Linked DNA regions of Yarrowia lipolytica. The protein of the gene in region 1 binds, or shares a complex with, the protein of each later gene. Links are inferred from orthologs where the notes say so. Each region holds a gene or a part of one and is shown in the gene's direction. Other genes may lie near its edges. The genes, in order: YALI1_D07124g, YALI1_B19567g, YALI1_D13790g and YALI1_E07306g.

Evidence for each region.
Region 2: YALI1_D07124g (region 1) and YALI1_B19567g share a complex: the UniProt entries of both Schizosaccharomyces pombe proteins name them as parts of the RNA exosome complex. The link is inferred for Yarrowia lipolytica from reciprocal best matches to the Schizosaccharomyces pombe genes rrp4 and rrp43.
Region 3: YALI1_D07124g (region 1) and YALI1_D13790g share a complex: the UniProt entries of both Schizosaccharomyces pombe proteins name them as parts of the RNA exosome complex. The link is inferred for Yarrowia lipolytica from reciprocal best matches to the Schizosaccharomyces pombe genes rrp4 and rrp42.
Region 4: YALI1_D07124g (region 1) and YALI1_E07306g share a complex: the UniProt entries of both Schizosaccharomyces pombe proteins name them as parts of the RNA exosome complex. The link is inferred for Yarrowia lipolytica from reciprocal best matches to the Schizosaccharomyces pombe genes rrp4 and mtr3.

What each region holds. Positions count from the first base shown.
Region 1 is NC_090773.1:710,010-715,012, forward strand, and holds YALI1_D07124g (uncharacterized protein), read left to right. Parts: upstream 1-2,412; coding exon 2,413-3,414; downstream 3,415-5,003. Other genes in the region: YALI1_D07118g (uncharacterized protein), read right to left, coding at 298-1,824; YALI1_D07149g (uncharacterized protein), read right to left, coding at 3,837-4,970. UniProt on the Schizosaccharomyces pombe protein: Non-catalytic component of the RNA exosome complex which has 3'->5' exoribonuclease activity and participates in a multitude of cellular RNA processing and degradation events.
Region 2 is NC_090771.1:1,954,300-1,959,115, reverse strand, and holds YALI1_B19567g (uncharacterized protein), read left to right. Parts: upstream 1-2,346; coding exon 2,347-3,315; downstream 3,316-4,816. Other genes in the region: YALI1_B19576g (uncharacterized protein), read right to left, coding at 554-1,489; YALI1_B19520g (uncharacterized protein), read right to left, coding at 3,475-4,816. UniProt on the Schizosaccharomyces pombe protein: Non-catalytic component of the RNA exosome complex which has 3'->5' exoribonuclease activity and participates in a multitude of cellular RNA processing and degradation events.
Region 3 is NC_090773.1:1,376,598-1,381,223, forward strand, and holds YALI1_D13790g (uncharacterized protein), read left to right. Parts: upstream 1-2,463; coding exon 2,464-3,402; downstream 3,403-4,626. Other genes in the region: YALI1_D13788g (uncharacterized protein), read right to left, coding at 1-2,293. UniProt on the Schizosaccharomyces pombe protein: Non-catalytic component of the RNA exosome complex which has 3'->5' exoribonuclease activity and participates in a multitude of cellular RNA processing and degradation events.
Region 4 is NC_090774.1:727,988-732,560, forward strand, and holds YALI1_E07306g (uncharacterized protein), read left to right. Parts: upstream 1-2,672; coding exon 2,673-3,461; downstream 3,462-4,573. Other genes in the region: YALI1_E07302g (uncharacterized protein), read right to left, coding at 1-2,274; YALI1_E07347g (uncharacterized protein), read right to left, coding at 3,930-4,573. UniProt on the Schizosaccharomyces pombe protein: Non-catalytic component of the RNA exosome complex which has 3'->5' exoribonuclease activity and participates in a multitude of cellular RNA processing and degradation events.

The sequences.
Region 1 (5,003 bases):
GATACAAGTACGATGTCTTTGGTCCAGGTCTGTGGGAGTCATGAATGGTTTGTATTTATGGTGCCAGTGGTACAATACTCGTATTTCGGCATAAAAATGAAAAATCGAATAATGGGGAAAATCGAATAATGGGGAAAATCGAATAATGGGAAAATCAAGAAAATCGAAAAAATCAAGAAATCGAAAAAATCAAGAAATCGAAAAAATCAAGAAAAATCACCCACTCACGAAAGAACTGTCCTGAGTACTTCTGCAAATTCATCGCCGTCATTACCATTATAATACATATATATACATTTACTCCTTGTTAACCTGAGGGGCCCATGCAACCTCCTTGGGCAGCTCGAAAGAAATGCAAAACATGTCCTTCTTGGGAGACACCTTTCGAACCCAATGCATTCCAACCTCGTTGGGGTCCAGTCGCACGTCGATCTGCTTGTACACCCGCTCCAAAAGAGCAGCCTTGGTCTCCTCCTTGGAGGGCTCTTCTTCTCCAGCCTCCCACTTGTGGAAGCAATGAACATGGACATGAGGAAGAGGAGTGTCCTGGGAGAGACCGTCGACAGTCGTGTACAGACCCTTGAAAGACCACAGAAACTCGATGGCCGAGTCGGGCAAGTTCATGACGTAGTGGCTGTAGTGATTGGGAATGTCTTGCTTGACCACGGGCTGTCCGGCCTTTCGCTTTCGCACCTGAACAGGGTTAATAGTGGGCTGGGTCCTTCTGTGTTCGTCCAGCAGCTTCATGCTCTGTTGCACGTACTCTGCGCCGTCGAGATTGAAGCACTTGACATACTCGGAGACCTTGTTGAGCTTGACATTATGTTCCAGAGCCTCGTACGAGTAAGGGTTGAGATCGTTAGCCATGACAAACAGAGAAGTTCGTCCTGAGGGAACGGCAAAGGGACCCACGCCTGCAAAGACGTCACAGACAGCCGTAGCAGGTGTGTTGTCGGGCTCGACAGCGGTTTCGGTGCTCTTCTCGTGGTTCTCTCTCTTGGCTCGCTCCTGCTGCTTACGTTCACGCGAAGAAGCCTCTCCTCTGAACAGGCTGACCAGCCGGTCGTGCTCGGTATGCAGTCGCGAGTTCCAGTACACCTTTGCGAAATCAAACTGGAATCGGCAGCCACTCTCATGCTGCTCCACCTCGGTGTTATCTTCACCGGCCAGAACGTCCATCTTGAACGTTCGGAACTTCGTGTCGATAGAATCGACCTTGTTGACCACGGTCTTGACTCGGGGGTTCTTATCGAGAATCACCTGGCCAATGAGTCGGTCGTAATCCTTCCATTCAGACCGCAGGTTGAGATGAGCCACATGTCCCACCATGGAGAATCCACTGGGAATCTCGTCTTTCTCCGTGACTGGCAACACGGAGTAGAAAATCTCGTCGGCTCGCCAAAAGTCGTAGTCGAGATCTTTCACAATCTTGGTAATATCTGCCTGGGCCTCGGTCAGCAGCTCCTTTCCTCGGGGACTCAGCTGGCTCATAACCTTGGAGGCTACATCTTCACCTCCCTCGAGATCCAGATCGTGTCTCAGAAGAACGGCCCGGCCATTGTCGTCCGTCTTCTGAACGTGGTTAATGCTTCGCAGCTGCAAAATGTCGGCCTTGCACTCCTTGGCGAACTGCGCAATGTATTTCGGATCAGGGAACTTGGCCAGGGCCAGGTTGAGAGACACGGTGAACTTGGACCGGTCCAAAACCGTCATTTCGCGGTTCAACGGGGGTTGCGGTGTGTACATTCTGCGGTAGAGACGGTGTGAGAGAGTCGGCGTGAGAGATTTCGGTTTCCACAGACCCTTCCAGAAGTTGAACTTCATAGAGGACTAAAAAATCGTGCATGTTGAAAACTTCTTATCCAGCATTAGGTTCTGATGCATTGTGAATGAATAATACACCTAAGTAATTAGTTTGATGTGGTATGAAAAGTTGTTGAAATAATTCATGGAAAATAATTGAAATCTGAGTCGAATTTGATATATCTCTGCAGAAAAGAACAAGTTCGATTTTTCTATCAATTTTCATAGTGATATTGTTTTATATGCTCTTAAAAAATGATTTTATACACTTTTGGAAGTAAACCGATTTTATCTGAAATTTAAACCGATTTTGTCTGAAATTTAAATCGATTTTGTCTGAATTTTGAACCGATTTTGTCTACATAATAGTTGGGTAAAATAAAACTGCTCAATATAAGTCGTAAAAGTTCGGGGAAAATTAAAAATATATTATTATTTCTCCTTAGAGTCTTATTCAATCTTCAAATAATCCGTAAATATACTCGATACCCCGTTTTTCCACCCACTTCATATCCTTCTCTTCGCCACACTCAAACCTTGATTTAGAAAAATATCCCAGGCACATATCCACCATCAAACCACCCTTATTACATCCACAAGTGCAACACAATGGCCATCTTGACGATTCAAAAGGCGACTCCCCGAGAGGAGGAAGACGTGGAAATGGTGTATTCGGACGCCGACTCGGACGCCGAGGAGCAGATGGTCATGTCTGACGACGAAAACGAAGATATGGACGACAATGCTCAGGCAGCAAACGTGGCTGCGGGTCTGGTGACGCCCGGCAAGCTGATTACAGAGGACCCCATTTGGATGCGAGGCCACGGTACCTACTCGGTGGGCAACAAGACCTTCTCATCCACTGCTGGAGTGGTGACCAAGACCAACAAGCTGCTGAGTGTGGTACCGCTGCGAGGCCGATACCAACCCCAGATCGGAGACCACGTGGTGGGACGGATTGTGGACGTGGGAGTGAAGCGATGGCGGGTCGACATTGGCGCCAAGCAGCTGGCTGTGCTTCAGCTGGGCTCCGTTAACCTGCCCGGAGGTATTTTGCGTCGAAAGCAGGAGTCCGACGAGCTGCAGATGCGAGGATTCCTCAAGGAAGGAGATCTCATCAACACAGAGGTTCAGTCGCTGTACCAGGACGGATCTGCTGCTCTGCATACCCGTTCGTTGCGGTACGGTAAACTGCGTAACGGAGTTCTCATCACTGTGCCCAGCGCTCTGATTGTGCGTGCAAAGAGCCATGTTCACCAACTGCCTGGCGGAGTGGACACTGTGGTGGGAGTCAATGGCTGGATCTGGCTATGTATGGCCTGGGCCAATTCTCACCTGACTCGAGAGAACACCACAAGTATCACTCGACTGGAAGAAGAGGCCTCTTTGACTGAGACATACAGTGACAAGAACGAGGACATTCCCCGGTCTGTCAGAGAGAACATTGCGCGGTACGCCAACTGTTTCAAGGCTCTGGCTGCTAATGAGGTTGGTATCACCGAAGATCGAGTCATTGCTGCCTACGAAGCCAGTTTGGTGTACCCTAGTGCTGGAGACTTGATTGATAAGGAGGCAAAGGAGATTATTGCTGCCAAGGCTATTGCTGCGTGAACATAATGCCTTTGAAGGTACAGCCTGAGTGTTGGGTGTGAAGCGGAGACTCATCTAGGGAGTAGCACTGGCTGTGGCTCTGCATGCAAGACTGGACACGGGCCAGATATAAATGTATTTATAACAGATGAAGATTAGCATTGTATGTTTTATGTTCTGGACATGGAGAGTTACAGATATAAAGTACTTTTTTAAATCAATGGCACGTACATTTCTGACGAAGAAAACACTCGTAGATGAGAGAGAGATCTATTGCATGTACTTGTCGTAGTCCAAAACTCCTTCGGACTGCAGTAAGCACATTCGGGATATATTGTGATCACATGCTGTATCATGTGACACGATCTACATTACCTGACGCCCTTCTTTCCCTACAGTCTCTCGATCAGGTATATTCCTTGATACTATTTACATATATACAATTACTTCTGTTCGGGCTTGGTCTCAACCTTGGTCTCGACCTTGACGACAGGCTCGACCTTCGGCTCCTCGGGAACCTCCAGAATGTACAGGTGGTTTGTTCCGAAACCACCAGTCTTGTTCTTGACCACGGTCATGCCACTGTCCCGCACAATCTGAGGGATGTCGAGGTTCCATCTGCAACCCCAGATTTTGGCTCGCTCGTCGGCCTTCTTGTCCAGGTATCGGGTGATGAACTCCCAGGCGGACTTGCCGTGCTCCAGCAGCACCACCTTTCCTCCAGGCTTGAGCAGCTGCTTCATTTCGGTGATAGCCTTGACGGGGTCTTCGTGAGAACACAGTCCAAAAGTCTCAAACACCACGTCGTACTTCATTCCCGAGTCCTTGGCCAGATCGTAGCAGCTTTCGGCCTTGCCCTGCACAAACTGCACCCGCTTAAACCGAGGGAAGGCCTTTCGGAACTTCTCCTCGGCCACCTCAAGCATGGGCAGGGAAGAGTCCACAAACGTGATGGACTTGACCTTTCGGGTGTCCAGGTAGTCGATGTTTCGGCCCGTGCCGCAAGACATTTCAAGCACGTCACCCTCCAACTCCTTGGCCACCTTGTGTCTCCATCGGAAAATCAGACCCCATCGCTCCTCCCACTTCATCTTGTCGTCGTACACCTTGGCCAGCGCATCGTAACACTCGGTGGTGTCTCGGGGAGCAGCCACGGTCTCGGTTCGGTCAAAGTCAGTTCGGCCCTTGTGCAATTCCCGCTTGGCCTCGCCCTTTTTCTGGATCTCGGGCAGCTTGGTGGCCACAAGCCAGGTGTAGGCGATGGCGGCTGTGAAGAGAACGGAGAACGTGGCGAGCTTCTTGAGTCGCTTGTTTTTCTCCTCGGCCTCGTCCTTGGCCTGCTGGCGCTCCTGCTCGGCCTTGGGACGCACATTCTTTAACAGAGCGGCCTCACGGGCCTTTTTGGCAGCGGAAATCTCCTCAACAGACATTTCCTTACGTCGCTTGCCTCCCTTGGGCTGCTTCGCGGTCTCGAGCCCATAGGGATCATGGAGACGAGTGGCGGTCACGTGGAACGAGCGCGCAAGTGGCGCCCGACACACAGACACCGGACTCAATCGAGCTAGTCGAGGAAGCATTTGTCAGTACAGTACTTGTTACTGAAGATGCAA
Region 2 (4,816 bases), on another chromosome or scaffold:
TACAGTAATGTTCAGTACAAGGACTGGTACAAGTACATGATGTAGTCGGTTATATTACTTCATGAACGTCAGAGCAAGCCTCAAGATCTTCGTTCATCCACTGCCAGTACAGTAGGAGTAGAGGTAACTACTTGCATACATACCTCTCTACATACTGTAGAGGTAGGTATGACCAACCAATGACAAGCACTTAGCCTAAAAAAAGAACACTACAAAAAAATTGCAGCACCTACTGTAGGATTCTCGTATGGTCTCCCACTACAATACTAACTAGGCTCTCTGGTGCTTGACTATGGCTGATCGGACGGGAAGCCGTATTTTCACCAGGATATGGCTGCAACTGGCCGGTAACTCGGCTGCTTAGTCACCGTTGCAAGGTCATTGTGTAACCTTGGGAAATGTAGAATAAAAATAAAAAAACTAGTAATGGATCATAAGAATAAAACAAAAAGCTATACTTGTACCTGAATGACTAGATTATACAGTTATGTGTTCCCTCGATTTTACCAACCATGGATTCATTATATTTCATTTTTATTAGTCTAAAATGTGCTTAAAGCTCATGATCGTAAGGGATACCCTCAGCAGCACCTCGTCGAGTGACAGCAATACCACCAGCCTTGTTTCCGAAAGCAATGGCCTCGGAGACTGTCTTTCCCTGGATAATGCTAGTGGAGAAACCTCCAAGGAAAGTGTCTCCAGCACCAGTAGTATCGACAATCTTCTCGACCTTGTTAGAAGGAACATGTCCAGAATCAGTCTTGGTCTTGTAAATGACACCGTTACCTCCCAGAGTGACAACAACGGCCTCCTTGATTCCCATCTTGAACAGGGTATCCGCAGCTTGGTCAGCTTGTTTCCAGATCTCCTCCTTCGATGCCTCCTCGTTGATTTCGACGCCAGAGATGAGAGTGGCTTCCGTCACATTGACCACGAGGAAATCTATGCTGTTGAGAACGGCGGCGGGGATGTTACCTCGCTCGTCCACAGGACTGGGGTTGTAGACCACTTTGGGCTTCTTAGATCCAGCCTTCTCGATGGCCTTGTAGACGATGTCGATGGGGATCTCGTTCTGGAAGATGAGCATGTCTGTGTCGAAGAGATCGTCAGTGAGATCGGCCTCAGTCCACTCGCCGTTGGCTCCGGCGTAGACCATGATTCGGTTCTCTCCAGAGTCTTGATCCACAAAGATGACAGCCACTCCAGACTTGGTGTCGAGCTCGTGGATGGCAGACACGTCCACGCCAGAATCCTTGAGGTTGTTTTTCAACTGAGTACCGAAGTTGTCTTTGCCGACCTTTCCGTACATCTTGACGTTCACATCAGGGACCTTGGAAGAGAGTCTGGCAGTAGCAAGAGCCTGGTTGGCTCCCTTACCTCCGCAGTGGGTCTCAAAGCCCTGGGAGAACATGGTCTCCCCAGCGTTGGGGAGTCTGTTGGAGATGGTGACAAGATCGTAGTTGAGCGAGCCGACAATTGTGATTTGCATGGTTGGTGATTTGGGGTCAGAAAGAGAGTTGTAGTTAAAGATAGGTGTTTAAATGAAATGTTTTTCCGAGAGTGAGCAAGGACCAAACTCAGGGATGCAGATGAGATGTGAGTGATGGAGGTTTAAAGTCTAAAATAGCACAGAGAGGGAAGAGTGACATCATAGGGTGCGAGCTGGAAAAAAAAATCAGAACATTTGGTTACTTGAGCGTTCTAACGTTGCAATATAAGACAGGTGATTCTATAAGTACATGTTAAGTCACGCCATGCACCCCACATTCTGTACAAGTATGTACATCCGTAACCGGCAGCCCATCGCTGGTCACTCCCAATAGCCGAGGAGTCATGCGATCACGTGGCTGTTTGAACATGAGAGTGACAATGTTGTCGTTCAAGGTATGAAATAGAGATGCCAGATATCCAGACCGGGCCCAAAAAGAACTGTAACAGCTACCGCCCTTGTCTTTATATTTCATAAGTGTCCTTTTTTTGCATAAGAGTCCAACGATGATGGCCCTAGACGTTCAAACTAAAATCCCACAAGTTTCAACTACTTCTTTCAAGGTTACTTGGAAAAGGTATTGTAATAATGGAGATATCTGAGAGCAGATTTCGAGTTTTTTGTTGTTGTTTTTTTTGAATAGACACATTCCAAGCACCCTCGATATTTTTATATTTTTTTGATCTCGGTTCTTCCGTTTCAATGTCAATATTATAACCATCATGTTGTTCAGTATGTACAGTATGTACACCCCTCACCTACACATGACGAGCCACAACTAAGTTTACGTCGAAAATATATTTCGTATCATGCACAACGCCTGAAGAATCTTTAATTTACACTGAACGACACACAACATGACGAATATGGAGCCAATCACATACCCTTCGGAGGTATTTTCGAGACTTGTGCCCGATCTATATCTACACAGACATCTCAACCAAGGATTGCGACCAGCTACAAACCGAGCCTTCACACAACACCGAAAGATCAACCACTTTTTGGGCGGTCTTAAGAAGCCCGTGGGATCCGACGAAAAGTCTGCGTCTCTGGTTTGGGGCTCTTCGTTGATCCAGGCCGATGGAATGAGTATTGTGTGTGGTGTTACCGGATCTGTGTCTGAGGAAGAGGGCGGAATCTTTGTTAACGTCGAGGTTCTGCGAGGAGCAAACGGAAGCAGTGCAGCAATGGGGGGGCCTCCCAGCGACGAGGAGCAGGTGGTGAGCCGAAAGACTACCGATCTGCTCAAAAAGGGCATTTTCTCCTGCAAGGCAAACAAACAATTCTTCGAGCTCCAGAACTTTCTGAAGGAGGGACAGGAAGACGAGGCCGTGTTTGACGCTGGCCAGCACCAGAAGCGATACCTGTGTTTGCATGCCAATGTGACTGTCCTGAGTCGTAACGGACCTGTGCAGGACTACGTATGGGCTGCTGTTCTGGCTGCTCTGAAGGATACAGAGATTCCTCTGATGGAGATTGATGAAGATACCGGACGAATCACTCTCACCCACGACTTTACCACAATTCCGGTCGACGACCTTGACATTCACAGCAGTCGGTCGTTCGGGTTCATCAAACCCAAGCCAGAGACTGATGCCTACGAAGACGACGAGATGGACACCTCTGAAGATGCTGCCAGTGTGCTGTTAGCAGATGTCCAAGGAGAGGTTGAGCAGGCTGCCACTTCCAGCACCCGTGAGGGCTCTCGGCTGCAGATTGTGCGTGGCCGGGAAGACACGCTTATTGGATTTTCTTTTGTGGGCAAGGGTACTGGAGTTGGACTCAACGAGATTAAGAACGCGTTGGATCTGTCGAAGCAAGAGTAGATGGATATAAGCATGTATAGACTAATTGGCGGAACTAATGGTACTATTGTATTGTGCTTGTGCTACATGTAGAAGAAGTCTATAGAATAGCATACGAGTGCAAACACTCGCGGATACAGTACTTGTTTTAGACATGATAAAAATACATTACTGGTGCTATCAATTGAGGTATCCCTTGCAGCCAGGTGCGCCACACAGACAGGGAATCCTCTCTTCTCCAATCTCCTTTTCGAACTTGTAGTCATATGTGAGCTCCTCGTTGGCAGCAATGTCCCGCGAGGCATAGATGACGATACGTTTTTGACCCTCCACCTTGATGATTTTGGCCGTGCAGCTGGGGGTACAGCAATGGTTGATGAACCGAGCAATACCTCCTCGCTTTGTGGCGTCCACGACAGTGCTTTCATCAACTCTGAACAGATATGAAGATCCGATACCTGACCTCATGTACCGAGCTTCTCGCAAGTCGGCAATCTCCTGTCGCACAACTTCTCCGACGTACTCGATGATCATCTCGTTGGCTGCAATGGGCTCAATAGCATAGAGACCCCAGTTGTGGATAGCTGAACGAGCGAACTTGACAGGCTTCTTTCGCTTTCGCAGCTGATTGAAGTTGAGCACATCGGTTTCGGTGGACAGCAGCTGTTTCTGCATGTTGATGTCTGCCACCAGCCTCCGGTTGTTGGCACGGTTAACTCGCGAGTTGGAGGCGTTCTCCTTCTTTTTCTCTCGGTTTTCCATTTGAAGCGTGTCGATGGGGATGTTGAGCTTCTTTCGGTGAGGCAGGTATTCGGATTTGGCAGCCTCAGGGATCTTGAAGTATCCCTGAGACTTCCATGAGCCAGTGGAGTTAACAAACGCGTTGGGAGCAGCCAGTTCGGGGAACTCTGCGTTTTCCTTGGCTACAGCCTCGTTGAGATGTTTATGGGTCCACGTCCATGCTTCTCCGTTGATCTTTTCAGGCTCAATACCCTCCAGGGCCTCCTGGAGCAACTCCATATCTTCGTCGTCCTTAACCAGCGCCTGGAAACCTGATATGGTAGTCAGAGCACCACCCTTTTTGTCGGCTGTTACAGGTTGAGGGAAACCGTGAGCAGGAGCCCAGTCGAGAATCTCGCCGAATGCAGTTGTAAGTTGTTGGGAAGTATCGAGAGTCGATGCTTCTTGGAGTTCCTCCTGCGCAGTTTCGTCCTCTTCTTCTTCCATATCATCCTCCACTTCCTCCTCTTCCTCGGACTCATTCGAGCCTTCAGAACTGCTGAAGTCCATAATTCGCTGCTTGGACTGACTGATCTTCTTGCGGGGTTTTCTAATAGGAAGTTCGGCAGCGTCAGCGGAGGTATCAGGGACAATGGGAGTCGACATTCGAGTGCTGTCTTCCTCATCCGAGTAGTAGTCGTTGAGAACGTGGTTCATGGGACGAGCAGATATCTTCTTTCGGTTCTTCTTGGTGGCATCCTTCTTCTTGGTCGGATCACCCTTTCGCTTGATTTTGAACCGA
Region 3 (4,626 bases), about 670 kb from region 1:
GCTTGGCCGAAGATACAAGTCCGGTACTCATAATCTCGTCCCAGATGGTGAACAGAGTATCTTGGATGACCGAGCAGGTCTTCTCGTCGGCAGCATCGAGCTGCTCAACCACTCTGTAGATGCAAGCAACAATAGCGTAGCGAGACTCACACGAAGAAGCCACGGAGTAGTTGAGAGTAGCAAAGTTGATCACGTCCACCGGCTCGGTGACCCTGTGATGAGCAAGAGTAGTGTTGAGACAGTCGAATTTCGCAGCAATGAGGTTGTTCAACGACTGGATAGTCTGGTCAGTCTTCAGGTCTCGCGAAACAATGTGCGAAGACTTGAGGTACTCGAACGTGTTGGCAAAGTCTCCCTTTCCGTTCTTGATGTTGAGAGCAGCCAGAAGAGTGAGCTGAGCAGCAGTCAGATCCATATCGTCAGGGAACTTCAACTTTTCGAGCCGAATTTCGATGGAATCGGTGTTAGTTTCCGAAAGATTGGACTTTGCAAGTGCCTGGGTGGCTTGGATAGATGAGAGGATGGAATCGTCAACTGAGACTGTAGGGACGCCAGTAAGACCCATGTTCTTCAGGCCCAGAGAAACACCCACAGGAAGGAGATTGAGCTGAGCAGCGGCCTCGTCAACATTGCAGGTCTCACAAGAACCGTACAGGTAGACAGCATACGTGGACAGATCCTCAATCGACTTTCGCAGCTCGGCATCTGGAGTGAGCTTGAAGTTGAGACCAGTCATGATAGTCTCGAGGGTAACCAGCTGAGACAGAAGCTTGAGAACTCGCAGAGATTGGCCGAAATGGAGGCAAATTCTAGCCAGGTACAGCTTCTGCAGTTTTCGTCGGACACCTGTCTCGGACGTGAGCAGCAGCATGGGAGCAAAGGCGTCCAATGCTGCGTCGCTCAGCTGGAACTCTGTGGCCTTGAGTCCAGACATGACGCCTGCTAGTGCGTAGATCTTGGAGGGGTCGAATCCTTCTCTCAGAATGTTGAGCAGCTTGAAGATGCAGATGGTTAGCGCTTCGATTCGAGACTTGTCAAAAGTGGTGTAGAGACCCTCGATAAAGGTCTCCAGAGTATCACCGTAGATGCAAACATTCTGATCGTCGTGTCTAGCAGTCTGGAAATGGGTAGCTTCGAGAAGATAAGGCAGCAGCTTGGATTCCAAGAAAGGGATGTCATGCTGAAAGACAACCAGAGAAGCAATTGGCAGAGCAAGAACAACCTTGGCCATGTACTTCCGCACGGTGTCCATGGTAGCATTGAGTCCCATGGCAATGAGAGCGATACCCCAACGAGGAGCAAGCTTGCATTCTGGCCCGAGGAACATGAGAATATCTCCCTCACAGGCCACCGTCTGGTTGTAGGAAGAGTCAATGGCGATGATCTCGGTGAGAGTAGCAAAACGTTTCCATTGCTCTAGCAGAACATCTCTGTCGGTTGTGGACCACTGCATGCTTTCCAGAGAAATGTCGCTGACAATATGCTGGACAGATCTTGAGATGATGTACAGGGCCAGCTTCTTGTGGTCGTAGGAGGTAGTCTTAAGAGGCCTGAGGAGACAGGCCCAGTAAAGGTCAGTCTTGAAGAGCGACTGGAAAGTCTCGGACTCGAGGGTAGCAGAGTCACATGCACTCAGCCACCACAGCCACAGCTTGTATCCCACGGTCTTGTGGTCGTCCAGGGACGAGTTGACGAGATCGGAGACAATGGTCCACAGATACGACGCCAGGGCGCTTGTAGCTACATTGGTCATTCTCAGTTTGAGAAGCACGGCAGCAGAATGGACCAGATCAGAGTCAGACAGACAGACAACATGGAGAAGCAGAGAGTCCAGCTGTGGGTTACCCAGGTCGTTGTTGAGCAGAAGAGATTGTAGGAACTTGAGAGATACTGCGGCGGTCTCAACGTCAACAGATCCGCCAGAATTCGACTCCTCCACAGCAGGCAGATCCGCATTTACCAGGTAGTTGAGATGAGGTTGGGACACATATGATCTCAGGTTGTTGTATGCATGGTCAAAGAGCAGCCTGGAGAGCAGAGGGATCTGACTCGAGACCAGGGTGATTGATTCCGAGCATGTACCAATCGACTCGGCGCACTTATCGGCCACATTGGCCACCTTTTCCTGGAACACCTGGGGTGTCAAGATCTCTTCCAGCAGCTGGAGGTCCTTGGCCTGGTTCACCAGGTCAGCCGACACGGAGGGACCGATCGCCCCGACCAGGCGGTCGGTGAGTTCATCCGCGTGTTTCCCCAGCGTGTGCTGATCCAGTTTTTTGAGCAGATCCAGCATCGGTTTTTGTGATATGACGTTTTGAATCAGCACTACCAAAAAATTTAGAAAGTTCCAAATTAAGCTTCCACCTTCATGCACAATTATTTTTCCACTATCGCCATCCACCCTCAGCTTAAAAAATTTAAGGCGTATACAACACCGCACACGCTACACATAATATCCACACGATGCCCTTCTCGCCAGCAGAAATCGACTATCTCCGCAAATCGCTCCAGGCCACGCCCACGATCCGACCAGACGCCCGAGAGCCCAACCAATTCCGGCCGGTGGATGCAGCGCAGAACTTTTTGCCAGCAACAAACGGATCAGCCCGAATAAGAACGTCGGACGGAGGCGAATGCATTGTGGGAGTCAAGGCCAAGGTGGTGAAGAACTCGTCCGTGGACGAACTGATTGCCGTGGAGGTGGATATTGACGATATCAGAGATGACAGTCCCTTGCCCAAGCTGCTGTCTGCCGTACTGCAGACGCTCATTCTTTCCAGCATTGACACAAACCGGCTTCGTCTGACCCGGTCCAATTATGCTTTCAAGCTACATATTGACGCGTTGGTGCTGTCGCACACCTCGTTTCCTCTGAACTTGGTGTCTCTGGCCATTTTCCTGGCTCTCAAATGCACACGTCTTCCTCTTCTGGTGTCCTCAGCCAATGACGAGGAGCACGAGGAGGTCCCTGTATTTTCCGACGACTGGGAGGAGTCTCTGGCGCTCTGTGGAGGCGAGATTCTGGCCAACAACTCCGGATCGGAGGCCATTTCGTGGACCCCGCCTCTGGTGTTTTCTCTGGCAGTGGTAGGGAACAACATTCTCGTCGATCCCACCCACGAAGAGGAGTCTGTGTCTGACCTTGGCCTCATCATGGGCTGGTGCAACGGCCAGGTCTGCGCTCCTCTACGAATCATCGATCTTGCATCTGCTGGAGGCAACGTGTCTCCCGAGCAGCTTAGCCAGCAACAGAGCATGCTGGAGCAGGGCATCGACCTGAACATGAAGGGTACTTCGCGAAAGCTCATCATGAAGGCCTACTCTCTGCTTACCAACACCGCTCCCGAGGTTGTTGCTGCGCTCGACGCCACTGCTGACGAGGAGGATGGTGCTTTGTTCTAAGCACCTGGAAAGAAAGGATGAGCCTTTACACATATACACAATGCTTGTGCACGACTGTATTAGATTTCATTGGTCGTGTCATACAAGTGACCACAGCTTTGCACATAATGTATTTTGATATTGAACAGTACGTACAGTACACTACAGAATGTACAAGTACCTGTAGCAGATGATATGTACTCATCACTTTACTGATTCGCCCTAGAGCAGCTAAGATGATTCAATGAACAATTCATACAACGGATTACATCAACTTCACTGTGGATACCGTTTGATAACGGCACCTGAGTCTATCCGCGGGTGTCTAGATGATGATGACAGTGGGAGTCACTATCAACGGATAAATTCCATCCAGTGAGTAATTAATGGAAATTCTTTGGCATCCCACATGTTCCAGAAAGCTTTCATTGTTGTATTATTTCCTTTGATATCTTTCAAGTGACTTCAAGCAGCTCCCTGTCGTATGATGTCGAGACTTGGCCATGTTAGCTCTTTAACAAACGAACCCCGATATCTAACTAATATATGTATGAGATAGTTGTATGGGTGAATGACTCTGGCCATGAAACATCACACAAGACGACTTTCTCTCTACAATATTGCCCAGATGTCCAAGGTACGATACAAGCTCCGCTTACATACATTATCCCATGTGAGACATTACCCCTCCATCAAGCCGGTAGTTTCATAGCACATGCTAAATACTTCCGTATGTACATACTGTAGATGTCTCATGGTTGAGGTAGATGTCATGCAGTTGGAGAGTGCAATAAGCAGCGTGCACTGTACAAGACACTGTAGAGGGGGCTCGTGATCCTTTTTTTTCGGAGATTGATTCTTGTTACAACTACGATCCAAGTAGGCGGCATTATTATTCTCGGTTGCGTCTTTCCGACTGGTCATTTTGTGGAGCCAAAAAGTTTCACCACATTATCACACTGCTTCACTTCTGTTTTGCCACATTTTTAGTGTGCGTGCCCAAGCACGTGTGCCATCAATTTGGCTACAAGTGTGCAGAGATTGTGCATGCCAACGCTACCAGGGCCTATGGTATTCAGGGCAACGGCAACGGGTTGGGACAAGGTACAGTAAGGTGACAATGACAAATTAGGGTCTGTACATCTGGTGCAAATCTTGGAGAACGCGTTTTAGCGCTCCGCTCTCATTGGCACCCGGGAGGCCCTTTTGACACGGAAAAGCCACGTAGATCGGGGTGTCTGTCAA
Region 4 (4,573 bases), on another chromosome or scaffold:
AGTCATGTTGTCCACAACTTCCTTGTACTCAGAAACATCAAGGTCATCACCTCGGATACCGTAGTTGAAGGCTCGCAGATTAGCGCCAGCAATGAGAAAATCCAGATGGTCCTGGTTGTTGAAATCAAATTCGAGAGCGTCAGGAGCTCGCTTAGGTCCAGACCAGAAAGGAGCACCAGTAGAAGTGGTGGCGTCCTTGGGGAAGTTGTACAGAAGCTGACTAATGTCGCCGTTGAACTTCTTCTCAAACTCCAGACGGGCCCACTGGACACACTCCTTGAAAGTCGTAGGTCGTTCGTCCACCAGGTACGACTTGATGTTCTCCAGAATAGACTTCTGGTCACCAGTCTGCTTGAGGGTGGACTCCACAAAATTGGGCTGGCTCAGAAACAGATTCACAGACTCAACATTGTCGGTAAAGTAGCCCTGGAAGATGGATTTGGCCCAGGCAATCGTGTGGTCAACCTTATTAGGGAAAGATCGCAGAGTACAGAGGGGAATGCCCTTCTCAGGGGGATCCTGGGAGGAAGAGTACGATTCAGTCAGGTTGGGGTAGACAACCTGCACGTTACCCTTGGTTCCCAGGGTTCCTGACTCGAGCAGAGGCTTCTGGAAAAAGACACATCGTCGATCGACGTAGGTTCGGGCGTCAACGTTGTCCAGAGCGTTAGTCACAAAGTCCAGAGACTTCCAGAACGAGTCGTCGAAGATGTTCTCGGTATCGGGACCGACCTTGTCGAGCTTGGCATCAAAGTGGCCCTTGAGATCAGGGTTCATCTCTGCCACAGCCTCGGTAGCGGTCACGGACTTGTGTTTGCCCACATCCTTGGGTCGGAACAGAAACTGTCGGTTAAGGTTGGACTTCTCAATCACGTCGTTATCGGTCACGTGGATCTCTCCGTCCTTTCCAAGACCCATGAGAGCCCAGTTCTTAAGCATCTCGCAACCGATGGCTCCAGAGCCAACCAGGAAAGTCTTAACAGCAAAAATCTTCTCGGTGAACTCCTTACCAAAGACGGCAACCTGTCGGTCATATCGCGAGCCGGTGGGAGCCACAGACTGCTCAGTTAGAGCCACGTCCTTGGGCAGAGACTCCAAAGAGTCGAAGTAGACCCACTGTCGGATGGGGCCAAACTTGCCCGAGCAGCCCTTCAGTACCTCCTGGGCAGCCATTCCACCAAAGAGAGCAGTCATGGCGGGCAGTTCACCAGCGGCCTGGAAAGACAGCTGGGTGAGCAGCTTTTCGTCGATTTCGCCTCCAGAAAGCACGTCGGGGTACTCTGCAGTGACGCTCTTGGCCAGGTGCAGCACCTCGTTGGCGTCCTCGGTATTCTGAGGTCGGGGGGCTCGACCGTGCTTCTGCTGGAACGCCTGGACGGCCATGAAGCCGACATGTAGCTGTGCGGGTCGCTCCATCTTGGCGAAGTCGGAAATCAGTAACTCGGGCTTGGCCAGCTGCTCCTTGAGCGAACCAAACGAAATCTCCTGGGGCATCTTGACCTGGGTGAAAAGACCTCCCTTCTTGTAGGTGCCCAGACCGTCAACAGAACCAATATTGAACGAATAAGGACCTGTGACCTTGATCTTTCGGGGAGTGTCACCGTTGATATCGAGACCCTCGACCTCAGTGAACTTAACATAATCTCCATCCTCAAGGTTGTGTCGAGTCTCATCGAGAGCAGCAACGTTACCCTCCTCGTCAATACCGGCAATGATTCCGGAATGGGGCTCCTCTCCGTTGGCGTCAATCAGAGCAAAAGATGAGCCAAAATCGACAAAGATGTTACCGAAAAGACCTCGGGTGTCTGTGCTGACAAACCCAATATTCTGCTTGTGTGTGATTTCGTTGACTCGAATCTGTTCTTCTAGAGAAGCATTGGTCAGCACAACCACCTGGAATCGAGCCACCTCCTCCTCGGAGAGATCCTTGGCCTCCAAAACGTGCACAGGAACGTACGAATTGAGCTCTGCCAGTCGAGGCTGAGACACCTGGTCTCGTCGCTTGCCCACGTCGTCCTCTCGCAGGAAAAACTGGGCACTGAGATCTGCAACCTCGGTCTTGCCGGGGTCATACAGAGTCAGCGACTTGACTCCAGCCAGAACAATGTTCTTGGCAATCTCAATTCCCAGACCCTGGAGACCCACGATAAGAACGTTGGAGTTGGCCATCTTCTTCATGGCCTCGTGTCCAAGCACATAGAGCTGTCGCGAGTACAGGGACTCATCAATTTCGCCTGCGTTGTCGATTTGCATCTTGTCTGACTTGTCTGACATTGCAAAAGTGGTAGTTGTGTAAGTGTAGATTGAACTGTGGCAAGGAATCGTGTGGAACTAAGTGTCGTCAACCTTGATGTTGGGTTAGGGTAAACGGAGATAATGTGGAGCAATGAATAATTGAGGACATTATATATAGAGAAAGGGAGGTTTGGGTTTAAGGTTGAGTCATAAGGGCCTTTTAGTTGCTTACCAATTGATTTGCTATCTTCGTTTGCTACATGTTTGTCGTATTAGAAGTCTTTAGTCAGCACCACCACGCTGTATCAAAATCAGGTCACCCGCAGCTTACGTAATTAGCTATCTACCAAATAAACTTCGCTCCCAACGCTAACCACGCCTGCACCAACATCGTGCAGAAATTTATTTGTGAGTTTCACTATCAACCACACAACACTATGACTGACCGAAGACGAGTTTTGGGGCCTGCTGACGCGGTGCCATTCACCCTGGACAACATCAAGCCGACCGAGGTTGAGCAGAAAAGCCTGGATATCGGCAGCATCTTCGTCAAGACCGGAGTGGTCGAAAACGCAAACGGATCGGCCTACTTGGAGCTGGATGATATCAAAATTGTGGCCATTGTCCATGGTCCTCGACCTATGAGAGGTCTGTTCACAACATCGGCCATCCTGAACGTGGACACAAAATTTCTCCCTGTCTCTCTCTGCGATATTGAGAGTAAGAGTGCTGTGGTTAGCTCCACCCAGCTGACCCAATACATTCGATCTGCCAGCACCACACAGAGCTCTTCTCTGCAGAAGAACGTTTCATCGTACGTCCACACCTCTCTCCTGCCCAGCATATTGGTCGAGAAGTACCCCAAGTCCACCATCGATGTCAGCATATCAGTTCTGTCTTCTTCCAATAATACCAAGACCACCGTGGCTGCCGCAGTTTCGTGCGCTGGCGCCGCTCTGGCCGATTCCGGTCTCGAGTGCACCGATATTGTGACAGCAGGAAGTGTGCTGCTCGATGAGAACAAGGCAACTGTGTCGCCCTCAAGAGCACCTACCAGCGAGATTGACGGAGTAGTATCCTACATGGCAGCAAGCAAGAAGATTGTGGGCATGTGGATTGAAGGCGGTAACGTGAGCGAGAAGCAGATGGAGGAGATTTTCGACAAGACCGAGGAGATGGCCCGGGAGATCAGAGGAGTCATGCATGGAGTTTTGTTGGAGCAATAAGGAATGACTGGAATGAGTCTGTGAGCATGCGTGGAAAACTTAGTGGCACAACATACTGAGGGTGTCATAAGTATCCTCACCGATAGAATGGTTCACCGACCACGTGAATGGAGGAGTGCACAGAGTCATACAGCAGCTAGGGTGCTTGATGTCGCGTTTAAAACACAACCAACCAAACTACGGGTACATAATATTACATAGATAACGCATTGAACATTACATGTTACGTAGTTGTAAGTGTCAATTGCGGTCAATCAATGTACTGTCATCACCATTCTATCTACTATAGACCCCTACGTCAAGGTCTGTAGCCCGTGGCCCAGAATTACACGTCACTCGCAACTCTGGTTTGTGCTCTTCACTTGATCCGATATTTGTTGACACACACACACACACACACACACGTTCTTCCAGATATGCTCTCTGCAAACAATTTTCAATCTATTCATACATATTCATTCTCCTCCTTTATACAGTAAGACCTTTAAGGGCGTCTCTAATTCTGAGCAGTCGCTCAGCCAAATTCTCCACAGACTCATCCGATTGAAGCACCTCCTGCGCCAGCTCAACGTTGAAATACGCCTGAACGGCAGCCTGCACTCTGTTGATCACCTTGGGTTCCTCAAGAGCCCAGTAGTCGTCCACTTCCTCAGGAGGGAACTCCATAGATAGAGAGAAGCATCGCTGGACGATGGGGAGGATCTCAAGAGCCAGAGTCTTTGCATCCACCTCTCCAGATAGATCAATCTTAGGAGCCACAATCTCGAAAGGTTCCGAGGTGCTGAGCACAGTGTGCTTGCCAGCATGGTGGTATCTGAACTCGTAGACTCCACACTCCCAGAAGAGTGTGTCCCCTCGGAAAACAACTTCTCCATTGGTCTTAGAAGACGACACAATACCGTCGAGATGCGACTCATGGCCAGTCTCGTCGATTCCAGACCATCGGCCCTTGGAGGGAAGAGAAGTCACCTCAGGGGAAGTGTTGTCGTGCACTCGGTACAGACCGATCCAGTCCTTTGCCGATCTGTTGGGAGAAGCCTGCCACTTGACATGAATGGGGGTTCCAAAGGCGTACGAAATTCGGTTGGAATCGGCACACTTCTCGCCGCCCA